Linked DNA regions of Coturnix japonica. The protein of the gene in region 3 interacts with the protein of the main gene of each other region in a pairwise test. Links are inferred from orthologs where the notes say so. Each region holds a gene or a part of one and is shown on either strand. Other genes may lie near its edges.

What was found.
Region 1: the proteins of LIN7A (region 3) and MPP5 interact in binary tests that used the Homo sapiens proteins (3 or more experiments, as listed by UniProt). The two-hybrid records come from large-scale screens. The link is inferred for Coturnix japonica from reciprocal best matches to the Homo sapiens genes LIN7A and PALS1.
Region 2: the proteins of LIN7A (region 3) and MPP6 interact in binary tests that used the Homo sapiens proteins (3 or more experiments, as listed by UniProt). The link is inferred for Coturnix japonica from reciprocal best matches to the Homo sapiens genes LIN7A and PALS2.

The regions. Positions count from the first base shown.
Region 1 is NC_029520.1:27,495,517-27,499,979, forward strand, and holds part of MPP5 (MAGUK p55 subfamily member 5), read left to right. Parts: intron 1-2,583; coding exon 2,584-2,661; intron 2,662-3,158; coding exon 3,159-3,305; intron 3,306-3,903; coding exon 3,904-4,065; intron 4,066-4,463. UniProt on the Homo sapiens protein: Plays a role in tight junction biogenesis and in the establishment of cell polarity in epithelial cells.
Region 2 is NC_029517.1:28,923,129-28,927,394, forward strand, and holds the end of MPP6 (MAGUK p55 subfamily member 6), read left to right. Parts: intron 1-1,573; coding exon 1,574-1,750; 3' UTR 1,751-3,311; downstream 3,312-4,266.
Region 3 is NC_029516.1:36,417,952-36,423,136, forward strand, and holds the start of LIN7A (protein lin-7 homolog A), read right to left. Parts: upstream 3,313-5,185; 5' UTR 3,234-3,312; coding exon 2,933-3,233; intron 1-2,932. UniProt on the Homo sapiens protein: Plays a role in establishing and maintaining the asymmetric distribution of channels and receptors at the plasma membrane of polarized cells.

The DNA of each region.
Region 1 (4,463 bases), on a different chromosome or scaffold from region 3:
GTTTGTGCCTTTTGCTTTTCTCATCTCTAAATATTAGGTTCCGGAAGCTCCCTCAGAACTCAGTACTTTAATCTTTTTGGAGCATTACCTACTTCAAGGTGTTTTTAAAGAGACATTTGGAAAAGTCTTTAAGGTGGAATGGAGCATTTAGGTGTAGGGAATTTATTTTAAAGACCTAATCTCCATAAAACATTGTGTTGTTCATCTCTTAAACAAAAATAGCCAGTAAACATCAAGTGTAATTAAATTGATTTTAAATCCTTTTAAATTTGACCAAAATAGAGGCAAGGATTATGGGAACATGGTCTGAATCTTGACCTTGTAAGAATATTTGATGCAGCGTGTAAGACACTTGGTAGTTTTTAGCTTGTAACACCACGTCAAATGCCTTGAATATATTCTTGCTATTAAATATACTCTACAGACTCAATTTATATAAATTATGTTCCTAAATACCTGATACCCTTCACTTCAGGAACTGTAATCAATTAAATTTGATCAGGCCTTCTGAGAAGACAGATTGTATGTTTGTAACTTCCAGTGTAATTTTTTTATTATGTGAATGTACATTGCTCCCAACGGTCGCACTGAACCCACGCAACATGGTTTTGCAGGTATGATTATATTCTGAAGGGCCAACATCATTCCAGTGTGAGCCCTCTGGTATGTGTCTCACAGTGTGCCTCCAAATTGTGGCTTTTATAATGAAACCCCATTAATAATTTCTTAGCTGTTAGAGTTCAAGTTAATGTAACTAACAATAAAAACTGGAATGAAGGGTTAAGAAAATAATAGTATTGCCAAATGTTTAGCGCGGAATGCTTATTCTGTCTGTGGTGTGTCACTTCTGGAACGTCAGCCTAGATTTGGATTTCTTCACCTGATGAGACATGGAATTCTTTACCTTAAATAACAAAGCAATCTGACATGCAGCAATACCAGTGTAATAAGAGTTGCACAAAGCAGACTGAACCTTTCCTAGTGATTCACACATTATATTAAGCAAATAAATAATGAATTTATCTTTTCCTTAGGAAGGAGGTGGAGGAGCTGTTAGCGTTTTTGAGTAATATAATTTTTCAAAGAGGAAATTCAGCTGCCATAGAGGATGCTATTGCACAGAGGATCACTGGTTGGGCCAAGTCACAAGGCATGGAAAAATAGAGGAGGAGGGGAGATGCTGTTCTGAGCATCTAAATGTATATATGGCTTATTGTGCGCTTATTATTCAGGCTTCATATGTGAATCATGTAGCAACTAGCAAAATGTTACTTTAAATAATATATTGTTTAGGATTGTTCTTATGCTAAATATTTATTTTATAAATTCACAAAGCGTGCAGATTTGATTCTGAGATGTACTACATACGTTCGTAATTATTGGTACATCTTTTTCTCTGTCTAATACTTAGCATCTGGCCACATGTTTGAAATGTCTTGCTTGCAGGACTTCTAACTGGGGATAACTTCCTGGCAGCTGCAGAGATATGACTTAGGTCAAACTGATGTGAAGCTGAATTCCTTCTGTTCTCTGTGTTTTTATCTAAATTAGTTCTTCAGTTTAGTTCTTGATTTTTTTTTTATTTTTTTTTTTTGTCACATTTTTCATCCTTAAGAGTGGAAAACTCTCGGGGAAAAGAATGTTTTCTATCGCACAGAAAGCTGCTGTTATGTATAATCTGTTCTTGATTCCTACAGCTTCATTAGTGCTTTTGGACTCATGACTTTGATGCAGATTAGGCCTGAAGATAATTACTGTAGAAAGTATCTTCTTCAACCTTGCCTTTAGATAAAGGGGAATGCCCTGCTCCTGGCTTGCCTTTAAAGCATACAGGGATTTTCTGTATTTGAGATGATGGCAAGACCTATTTAAGTGAACAGGAATGCAAACCTTTTTTGGCAACAAAAGCTACTTGAGCAAGAACAGCTGTTGTCTTTCTGTGGATTATTCTTTTTCTGTGGCAAACAAAATAAATAATAGCTGAAGAAAACTGGTTTGCTGAGATGCTGGTATTTTGAAGTTTTGACTCTTAGAGTTTCTGAGGCAGATGTTCCAGCAAGTGCTGCAAAACCTGTCTTGGAATCTTTGTTCTTGCTGCTAGTAGCAATACTGGGTTAAAAATAAATCATCTACTTTTAAGGAAAAGGAAGTCTGGTCACAGTAGTGAGAAACTAGTCAATTTTGAAAGATGTAGCAGTATTTGCATGGTAGGCTTCACTGTGGCTAATTATGCTGTCAGGTTCTTTTCTCAACTTCTTTGCATACATCTCTTGTGGTAGCTGAGATCATTGTTATCATTGTTAGTTTTTGTTGAGAAATCCATGTGATATACTGGATACCAGTTTGCATTCGATAGAAAATCACTGAGGTGCAGCATTCTGGAGTAGTCCTGTGATCTCACTGCATGTATTCCTAATGTGTACTAGGCCAGGCTCAGTGCGTCAGTATAACAATTATGTGCGCATATTTTACTTTCAGTAAAATGAATGATGATTGCAGCTAAGGTTTTGTGCTTCAGTTGGAGAAGGAAGACTGATAAATCACTGGGTAGACTGAGAGCTTTACTACTTCATTTCTTTTCAGGTTCAGTGTGTTTTGAAACCCAGTCACCACAGGGATGGGCAGGAACTCAATGCCTTGCTGAATGCCCCTCACATGCAGGTAAAAAAAAATTATTGTATTCTGCAGGTATTACAAGGTAGTTTTGACGTGAGCAAGGTAGCACTAGATCAGTAATGTCAGTGGCAACACATGAGCTACTTACTTTCCTGAGGGTTTTTTTCTGTGATAGATTCAGCTATTGCATTCTTATAGTAGGGTGCATAAAGAGAATTTTGTCCAGTGAAGTAAATTCATGAGTAGTTTTGACTGCAGTAGGTTTTTTTGCTTCTGTATCTTTGACATACATAGTAAACCAATGTCTGACTTTTTTTTCAAGAAGGAGAAGCCATAAGTATAGTTCCAACTTTGTGTTCAAAGTAATTTTGTATTATTTTCCAAAACCGAAAGCAGAATTTTTGTCAAGTAGAAATTACAGTATTCTGTATTTATAAAGTATTCTGTAGTTATAAAGAGCTTTCAAATTGCAGAATTTCATTGATGGCTACTATTTTGTATGCATATGGAATTAGAATTTTTCTCATTTTGTTTAACACTAGGCACTTCTACTAGCACATGATAAGGTTGCAGAACAAGAAATGCAACCCGAGCCTGTTGCAGATGAAAAAATTTATGAGAATGTTGGCACGTATGGAGGGGAAACGGTTAAAATAGTTCGTATTGAGAAAGCTCGAGATATTCCATTGGTAAGTATTTGTACTTGCCCAGTTATGCTTAAAGCAGTAAAGCTGTCTTTGCAGATAGCTATGAAAGTTACAGGATTTGAGTGTGAAAGTTATATTTAACTTAGAAATCATTTTCTTCCCCACCTGCCCAAATGATAAATGGTCATAAATGATTACTTAATGCGCATTATGATATAGCAGTAGACAGCACTTAGAGCCTGTATAGCTTTCATCGTGTGGATTTGGCTAGGGTTTTATTATAGCAGTCACTATCCAAGTTTAGCTGCAGGAAAGCTTAGATTCTTGTCCAATTACAGGTGGCTGTGTTATGTTAGTGTTCTTTTTAATCTACTATTTTGCATCTTTAAAATTAGTGTTTAGGAAAGCTTTTATTTAAAAAAAAAAGAAGACTATGAAAGTGTAGAGTAGTTTATTTCTTCAATCTTTAATATCACAGAAACAAATATGGTTTTTGTTTTTGTAAACTAGAGCATTACATTCAATATTATATGCATTTCTTTCAACGGAGAAATGTCTCCTCACTGCCTTGAAATACTTACAATAGATGGCTTTGAGTTTGTGATATGTAATAAATTCAGAATTTGTTTCTACTACACAGGGAGCTACTGTTCGTAATGAAATGGATTCTGTCATCATTAGTCGAATAGTCAAAGGAGGTGCTGCAGAGAAGAGTGGGCTGTTGCATGAAGGGGATGAAGTTCTGGAGATTAATGGCATTGAGATTCGTGGAAAAGATGTTAATGAAGTTTTTGATTTACTGGTGAGTTGGGAACTTTGTTTTCCCTGCAAAAAATACTCCTAAGGTTGAAGTCTGTTACCTCTGCTTGTCATTTGTAGACATATTTGCAATTATTTTAGAGCCAACTTTACTCTCATACTTAATACTCACACATGGTGGGCCATTTTAAGCTTACTTTCTCATGTAAGGTGCAATTTTAGCAAGTATAATGGCAGTTAAATGCAAAAATGAACCTTACAAATGTGAACAAGTCATGCTGTCATCTTGAGGCTTATTTTAATGACTTCTGATGAAAAGCTTTGCTTAGCTGTGAAAAGCTGTGATTTTTTTTATCTGTCTTGGACTCAGTTCTCAGTTAATATCAATAAATGTGTGCCTGCATGATTCTGGTCCTGCCTGGCTGACATGGAGTTCACCAT
Region 2 (4,266 bases), on a different chromosome or scaffold from region 3:
TCAAAATAAACAAACAAAAAAGCCAAGCAAAGCAGCTGGCATTCAGCTGGGCCTCATTTCATTTCCACTGCTGCAGCAGCACACGCTGCACCAGAAATGGCTGAGAGCTGCCAGAAAAAGAAGTGTTGAATGGCTTCTCCTCCCGTGACGTTCCTTGGACTTGTCATGTAAAGCAAAGTGGCACATTTTATTCCTCAGGTCCTGGTTCCTTTTCTGAGACCCAGCAGAGGCAAATGAGAGGCATAGCGAATGATGAATGTTCTCTATGGTTTTGAATTTTCCCACTGGAGGACTGGTGCAAAGAAAATTAGAAACAGTCAGGCTGGGCAGTAAATGAAATCATTCTGTGTGCTCAGCAGCGTGTCTTCCCCTTCTGAGAAGAGCCCTGGCATGCTGACAACCCAGCTGGCGTTGTGTAGCTTAGATGGTAGCGATACCTTGTGTGATACTGATGGGGCATTCCAGGCTATAAAATGGGGAGTGATTTAACTTATACTGAATTGAATGTGGGATTTTTTAGCTTTTTTTCTCCTGAAACCTGTGAGATTCCGTTCTGTTAACAACATGAGAAGCTGTCCAGCCCGAGTTGTGGACTCAGGTTGTTAAGGATTCTAGTATGTCTGTGGTGCTTTGTGTTGCCTCCTTCCCACAAACACTGACTTTTGCCTTGTATAATCAAGAGACAAGATTAAGACGGCCCAGACAGTATGAAAGTAATTTCCTGCACTTCCTGAAATTTGATTCCCTAAGGGACATCCTTGCTTTTGTTTTACTTCCTCTGTGAATAAGAAAGAGGATAGTTGCATTTAAAGTATGCATGTTATGAATCTGTATGGATTCTGCATCATAATGTTGGACATCTTCAGCTTCCTGAACAAAGAAGAAATGTGCATTTGAAGTATTGCGTGCATTGTTTGCTAGTGGGTCTGTCTCAACTATTCCTGGCTTCCCAGGCCATTGCAAGAACTCCTGCTCCTGTGGTGCTCTATTTGCTTGCCTCCTTCACGTGCTGTGAAAGAAAAGCTATTCATATAGTTCTTAATTTTGGCTTTTCTATTTACAACTGCAGTGGCGCTTTAAAGATCTGAGATTCATCCACCAATGCAGCTTTGGTGATGTTTTGTTTCACACTAATTTAAAACCTTGGGGCTTTGGTGCTTTCTGGAGGGAAGAAAAAAGAGGCACAAATAAATGCACATAACCAATCCGATTATTGCCAGACATTAACTATTGTGATTGACTTGCCAGTTGCCTGCACAAAGCGATGGGCTGTCTGTTGGGCACACAGGGCCCCTCTCACGTGCTGTTATTGACTTCCTTAAGAATGGCAAGATGTGCAATGTTTGGTTTCCATATTTAACATTGTTGATGCCAAGTATAAAATTGTCGGTCCCATCAGTGCATTTTAGCTTGAGGGCTTTGTGGATTTATTATAGATATTTTATCTTTTTAATGCATAGCGGTATAAAGTTGTAAATGAAGCCATTCATCCTATGTCACAAACCAGTGCTTGTTGATTGGTAAGGATGTGACAAGTCTTGCATTCTTAGTGATTTCCAAATGCTTCCAACAGGACACCGACCTGAAGAAAACAGTGGATGAAAGCGCCCGGATCCAGAGAGCGTACAACCACTACTTCGATCTGACCATCGTAAATGACAACCTAGACAAAGCCTTCGAGAAGCTGCAGACTGCTATAGAGAAACTGAGGCTGGAGCCACAGTGGGTCCCCATTAGCTGGGTGTACTGAGATTGCTGAAGATGAGCTTAAGTAACAAATAAAATCAACTGCAGCAACCAAACTAACGTGACGGGATGTGGTGTAGATAGCGATGATAACTGCAGCGCCTGCGCATTTTTACTCTGTGTATATTCAAAAGTACACTGCTCTGACTTTTTATAATAACGCCGAAGAGAAAGTGTACTTAAATATGTAATTTATTTTAATTTTTCTAACTTTTTACAGATAACCTTTCTATTCATATCACACGAAGGAAATGCGTTTAAGCATTTTATACGTTTTGATTTTAGTACCTTTGCCTTTTTCATCGGAGAAACTTTCAGTCCTTCACTTTAACATTTACATCTCGGTCTTACATTTTCACTGTGACTAAAAAGAGGATACTTGAAACAATTTTTGTCGAACTCGGTCACGTCAGTGTTTAACCGCTCAAAAGTCTGTCGCTTTTATTAGGAAACAACAGATTTCTTTTTCTTTTCTCCTTAAAAAGCAATGATTTGACAAGAGTAGAATCTCAAACGCTAACAGCGACAAGCGGCACAGCTCCATTGCTCCAGCTTCTTTCTGCTGAACGTTGAAGCATTCTTGATGTTTCATGAATTCCTGACGTCTCTTGATTTAGGCAACTGTTCTGTAGGTTCCCTTATGCGTCCCTTGCAATCACACGAAGCAATACCTTGCAAGCTGCTCATCAGCTGTTCTTGGGAGCCTGCCCGTCAGAAGCCTCTCGTGGTGGAAGTACCTGCAGCAGGGAGCGTGTCTGCAAGGTAATTCAGTGCAGTGGTGATGTAGCCAGAGAGAACCTGATAGCGGAGCCTTGTAGAGCAAAGCTTAATATCCAGGACTGTTGTATTCATGCATGTGGAAACACATTGATTTGAGAAACAAAACAAAACAAAGAAGAACCCAGCCCAGCGTTTTCTTTTCTTAGGACATCGTTTGATGTTTATGTAGTGATCTGTGGCTTAATTTCCTGAGAGATCTAGCTGAGTTTTGTGTTCTCTTTTGGAAAACTGTTGTATTTTTGAGTGTGATGTAATGGAATTTCTGTGCTCTTTGTTGCATTGTGCTTTTAATTGATTTTTTCATTAGGTAGCTTGTGAATTGGAAGCCTGCTGCTAAAAATCCACCCTGTTCATCATTTTTGTGCTTTACAACGTACTTCTTTTTGTGTTTGGTGACAGTTGTCCCCTTTGTAGGCCCATAGACATAAGTCATATTAGGTTTGTTGATCAAAGCTTATGCTAATGTAAGTTTCTGCTTGACAAGAACAAAATGAAAATACAGCCTGTCACCAAGACTTGCTCTTTTTGTGATCACATTTTATATTATCCTGTTAGCTGTTGTATATAGCAACATTCACCATTCCATAGCAAGCTAAACAGAAGTCATCTATATTTGCTTAATTCCTCTTCCATCCGGTGACAGGCACCTTGCTTCTGAATTCTTTTTCAGCACCAAAGTGTGATACAGAACACTGCAAAAAGCAATTCTTCTTGTTTCTAAAGGAAAAGAGGCCTGCGTGCTGTAAAGCATCATTGGCTCCTGGGGCTCTTAAAGCCTTCTACGTGCACATCAGAAACTGCTGATATAGGAAAAGCTTACATCTCAAAAAGCAAAACCACCCTACCTGTATGCTGCAGGTGATTTTTAAAGCTGATGGAGTTGGTTGTTTAGCAGGGGGCAGCTTAAGATCAGAGTGCGTTTGGAAGATGTTTGTCAGAGCTGTGTGAGCACGGGGCATCTTTGTGGCTCTGAGGGCTGAGATCTCAGTCTTACGGAGGGACTCTGGAAGTGTTGGAGGAAAATTTGTGCCACTGCTTTGCTTTCTTGGTTTTGTTTGCTGTGGTTTTATTTAAGCTGGGCAGAGCATCAGCACCAGCCCTTTACTTGCTTTTCCCAGAGATGTGTTCTGTGATCCTGTCACTCAGAGTCTGCTCTGAGAAATAGATGGAGTCTTTTATGGAGCAGCAAAGACAGCAGAGCCGTTGCTTAACTAGTTCAATGATTTTGCTTTGGCATTATAAGCTTAGCGTGACGGGATTGTGTTTGTATCCTGTGTCATAGAAGACCTACATGTGCTGTAAATACAATGTGCTTCCTGGACAGATGCGATGCCTTTTCATTACGAGTTTGTGATGCCAAAAGTGGGCTGAGCTCACTCTCCCTTAAGGAGCGGAACAAGATGATTCTTCACTTTCCACCCCACGGCAGTTCATATTGCAAACGTCACCTCTTGTCATCACTTTACAGACGTGTACTCAGCCAAAAGTATCCCACGAGAGATGGGCACCAAGATTTAGTCATGAAAACCTCGCTACTCCTATTTCCATCTCAGAGATCATGCTGTGCAAAGAGACCACATAGTAAGCAGTCTCCAATTTGCCGTGTATTTGCTGAAGCCTGAAGCTTTTAGCTTTAGCTTAAGCTCCACGCAGTGCTTAGCAATCAAGCACATTTAAGTTAGCACAGCGGAGCCCAGCAGCTGACCCTTTGCTGCGGTTAATATAGATGCTAATGAGAAG
Region 3 (5,185 bases):
ACAGGAAAGTGCACTTCTTTTTGTCAGAGACTGACAGAGCTGCTTGAAGACACTCAGCCAACAGGCTTTGCCCCTCACAAAGCTCCCAATCATGGGCACGAGCAGCTCATCCCAGAGCTGTACCCCCTCAGCTCCAGAGCTTTACATCTCTGCACTGAAGCACTTGCTGATTCCTTCCCCTCCTCCCAACAGAGCACCACACAAAGGTCAGGCAAAAGCCTTGGAGATTAAATTGTAAGTGATTAAAATTTCCATTATTTTGTGAACTTGTTCCACATATTAAAAAGCCCTAATGGAACTTGCACACATTTGTGCAGGTAGAAAGGCACATGATGACAGGAATTAGGGAAATTAATTCCTGTGCTTTGGACTGAAGTAATCTTCCAGAATGTAATTGGCTTTCAATCATTCACACACAACATGCCCTTCACCTTTAAATGGTAATACATTTTACCACACGATTCTGAATTCCACTTGTATTGGGTGCTAGGAAGGCTCCCATCACAGCACTGAACAGAGAATGCAGGCTTCGTCTGGGAGCAGACCATGTTGGGGCCTAACTCAGATTTCTGATGTATGCATCTATACAAAGTTTTACTATTTCTGGACTCCTTAGTGGAGGAAAAAGCAAACATTTCCTAGCCAGAGACGAAGCAGCCATTCCCTATGCAACGCATGGTAGTGAGTGCTGCCTTTCGTGCAATGCTCTCTATTTTCTTGCTGCACGTAGCTCTCTGTGGGGCACAGCCAAGTAGATACAAGACTACAACCCTACTCCAGGCTGGGCCTATATCACAGCAGAGCTGCACAAAGCGTAAGTGACAGTAAACATAGCTGTGTCTGCTTTAATAAAAACAAGTGAAATGTGGAAAATCACACTGCACAGAACTTTCCTGCTTCCTTGGCTGTGAGAGAAAGACTACAGGGGAAGTACCTGGGAGTACTAGGCTTGGGTTGCTCCTAGAGTGTCAGCCCGCCCTCTCCAGCTCATGGAATAACAACCTGTTATGGGTGACGAAGTGTATCTCGTTGATGTAATGGCCTTCTGCAGGCCAGGTGCTGTATTTAAATCTATTTCTTCTTGCCTGTAGTTCCCTTTTGCACGTCACATTCTACCACTCCGTGATGCCATATCTCCTCACGCTACTGTCAGCCCTGGCTGACAATCAGGGAGTCCATAACACCAGCACCCCTGCCAAACATTTAGGCATATTCTGGACACAGACAACAGATGTTTACATTTAAATTTGGACTAATTTGCATTTTTGTGTATTGTGATTTTTTTTAAAGCACTGTGTTAGCGATGAAAAGAAACGCGTAATTCTGAAATAGTAATACTTTCCTTAGAAAAGCCAGGTTTGCTAATGGATTGCCATCTGTTCAGCTCTTTGCCAGGAAATAGATTTGTCCTGCTTACTGAAAACAGTATTAGGGTGAAACTGTAGATTACACAGTGGATTTCTGAACTGTTTAATTTCAAGCGCATGCCAATAACAAACGCTTTGTTATTTCAGTAAGAATAACTTGAAATTCTCCTTTTCTAAAAACGTTGAAATTAAAACTATTCAGCAAACTGTACTTAGAGTACAATAGGAAAAGGTTCATCAATAGAGGGTGTCAGGTACTGGAACAGCTTCCCCAGGACAGTGGTCAAGGCACTGAGCTGACTGAGTTCAAGAAGTATTTGGACAATGCTCTCAGACACAGGGTTTGATTTTGGGCGGTTGTGTGTGCAGCCAGGAGTTGGGCTCAATGATCCTTGCAGATCCCTTCCAACTCAGGATGTTCTGTGATTCTGTGAAACTCTGAAGACTGCTTTGCTCTCGTAAAGCTCCAGTAAAGGTCCCTGCACCATCTTTCTCACCTTGAAACCGGGTTCATCAGGCTTCTTTTGCATAGGATTTACAGGAAGATGCTCTCTATCTTGCTCTGAAAGCCTGTCTTAATCCTCTAGAAAGAGCATGTAAAAGAAAAAGCGGCACTGGCCTAAATCGTGCTTTCAAGAGTACAAGATTTATACATGTTCAGAGCCACTGGGCTCCTTGATGGAAGTTAAGAAAGATGCATCTGCAACTCAAGAAACTGTTTTGGGAGCTGTGTGACCTCTTTAACTCACAGAGCCACAGAAGCAAAACAAATCAGACATCAGGTTAAGTCCTTCTCCTCTGTGACCACAGAAACTAAACAGCATTTTTGCTCGGCCTTGCAAGCGGCGCAAATGCATCGCAAGGGAGCCGTCCAATTTTCACAGCCTGGAGGCGAAAACTGAATTTAAACAAAAGTTCACGATTTCAGCACCTCTTTTCATTACCTCGGTCAGGCTGCTGACACAAACTCAAGGCGAGCAAAACATCAGCCGCTCTCTCTCCGCGGACGGAGCAGCAGCCTGCAGGCATGCACAGCACCCCGGCAGGGTAGCATCACACGGAGTAATAGCATCATCACACGGAGTAATAGCATCATCACACGGAGTAATACCATCACACGGAGTAATACCATCACCGTCAGCTCACAACGCAGCACTCCCGCACCGACCCCAAACGCCGACACACGCTCCCCTTACAACCGGGCGCCCGCTCCGCCCGCCCCAAGCGCGGTGCCGTCTCCGGACAGGTGCGGATGTGCTGCGGCTCTCCAGCGGCAGCGAGGCAAAGAGAACCGAGCTCACGGCCGCGGGGCACCTGCGCGCAGCCCCAGCCCTCGCCGTGCAGCCCTACCAGCGTCCCCCGGCCGCTCCGCGCCGCCGGACAAACTTTCCTCTCCTCTCCTCGCTCCGGAGCCCCGCGGGGAGACCCTGCCCACCCACCCGCCGCCTCCAGCCCTTACGGCGCGGGGACGGGCGGGCCGTCACGGCAGCGCCCGCCGCCCGCCTCGCACGGAGCCCCGCGATGTTCCCTCGGTCGGGCCGGGGGGCGGCAGCCGCCGCTCTTACCTCTGTCCAGCGTGAGCGGCTGGACCGCGGTCAGTGTCGCCATGTCTGCGGCGGGGCTGGAGCCCGAGTGACGCGCGGCTCCGGCACCGGCGTGGAGCGAGGGGAAGGGCGGGGAGGAGGCTGGCAGGGAGAGGGGGCGGAGGAGGAGGGTGGCTCCGTGGGAGGAGGAGGAGGAAAAAGAGGAGGAGGAGGCGAGCGGGGCGGAGAGGGCGCCCAGCGGAGGGCGGCTCAACGTGGACGGGACTCCGCGGTGCATCGTGCGCAGGGCGGCCCGGCGGGGCCCGGCGCGGGCTGCCGGCATCGCTGCGGTGCGCACCGGGACCCGGCGGGAGGCCGCCGAGCTCGCCTCAGAGCGGACTCCCGGGGCTCACGGCCCTGAGGGACGGGCGGCGTCGGTGACAGCTTTCTGGGGCCGGGGGCGGCGGGCGAGGGGCGGTCCGTCTGTGGCCCCGCCGCCCGGGGGTGCCGCAGCGGAGCGAGGGCGGGGAGCGGCGCAGCGCCGCCTGCGGGAGCGCAGCCGGGAGCTGCGGGGAGAGCCCACGGCGGAGCCCCTCGCAGGGCTGCGCTGCACCGGGGCTTCCTCGCGCCGCCCTTCGGACGGCACTGCTGTAGTCAGCACCGTCTTCAGCCCGGAGCCGCGTATGGGCTTCTGCGTGCTCCGGGCCGTCCTCAGGGTATCGCTCGATATCTCCTAGAACGCGTCCCATACAGTTCCACAGCTCGGGCTTGAAAGGCATAAAGGGAGAGAGGTCGATCGTGAGTCGAGGTCACATCGTGCGGGTGGATGTGCTCAGTTTGTGCAGGCCTGAGCGCTCATCCTTCAAGCTGAGCTTAGCGGTGGAGCCGTGCAGGGCTGGTTGTGCTGGCCGTCCTTAGCCCGGAGCCCAAGGGCAGCCGTTCTGCCTCTCCAGAAAGGGACGTGCAGTTGTGCTGCCTTCCACTGTGAGCAAGTGTGCAGAGAAGTGACAGTGGAGACCTGAGCCCCCTTTGACTGCCGTCCTGTGCAGTACCTGCGTTGCTGCACTTGCCCAAGAAACGCCAAAACTGGGAAAACTTTAACCCAGAGAGGAATGTAGCACTCTGCCTCTCGTTTACTGGGGGCACAGCACAGGGAATGTGAAAATACAGCACAAGCAGACTGTGCATTGGTAACAGCTGTAATTGCCGGCGTATTTAAGCAGTAGTAGAGGTAGTTAGCTAGGGAAGCTGTGGAAATGTTGTCACTAAAAGTTTTAAGAGATTAAAAATACATATGGCAGTATTAAAATTAGAGAGAAAAAAAATCAAGAAACCAGCTCCTGTCAAACAGTTTTTAAGATCAAAATTAATGTGAGGATTTCTATTTTGTAGACTTTATATACTTGTGGAGCAGCTGGATCGACGTAAAGCCTAACAGTGCCTCTTACACAGTCACACTGCTGCACACTGGGTTCACCAACCTTAGAAGGGAAGAAATTCACGTTTGGAGCTGTAACAGTGTAATGTGACAACACTCGAACTGTTCTGATTGGTACACGTGTAAAATTATGTTTAAATAATATTAAAAGCAAGGTGCCAGGTTAATTAGTTGTTTTTCATAGGGAACGTCGTAACCCTTAGGCTTGCTCTTTTAATCTGCCATGTTGTCAACAGACTTCTTGAAGCAAAATGCAGCTATAACAGTAAATTTTCTATGAATATCTGTGTAACGCTAATGCCAAATATGTCGCCTTTTAGAAATACACAAGTTTAGCTAATCTACTGTTTGTGCTTGAACTGTGGAAAGCAAGAAGCTTATTCCAGCTTTATCCTTTTTTATCTACCCCTGGTCAGATTTCATGTGCTCTGCCACAGGGGCTAATTGGCACTCAGATGAGAGACTTGAATGGGAGTATTACGCGCACTCAAGGAAGATGAAAAAGCAGCATTTGCTGGAATTAAACATGTCCTAATCAGCATAGCTGCACAGTTAATGCTCAGGGCTCTCAAAGAACTAGCCCAGGGATACTTAAAGCAACTGTACAGGGAAGATTTTAGAAGTTGTCCTGCAGAATTCCCTAACTGGAGAAAGGGGCTGGGATGAAGTAGGGAGCTGTGGCTCTTGCTTTCCAGCATTAGTTTCCAGGAGAAGTAGTGGGCTAACAACAAAAGTCAGCAAGAGAAGTAGTGCTGGTCAGCACCACCCTCCTGAAGGTGGATGCTTTTAGATGGAAGGCACTGGTCTGCCTCCCAGCCTGCTTGCTGATTTCTTGGCCAGCACTGGAAGTTTTAATT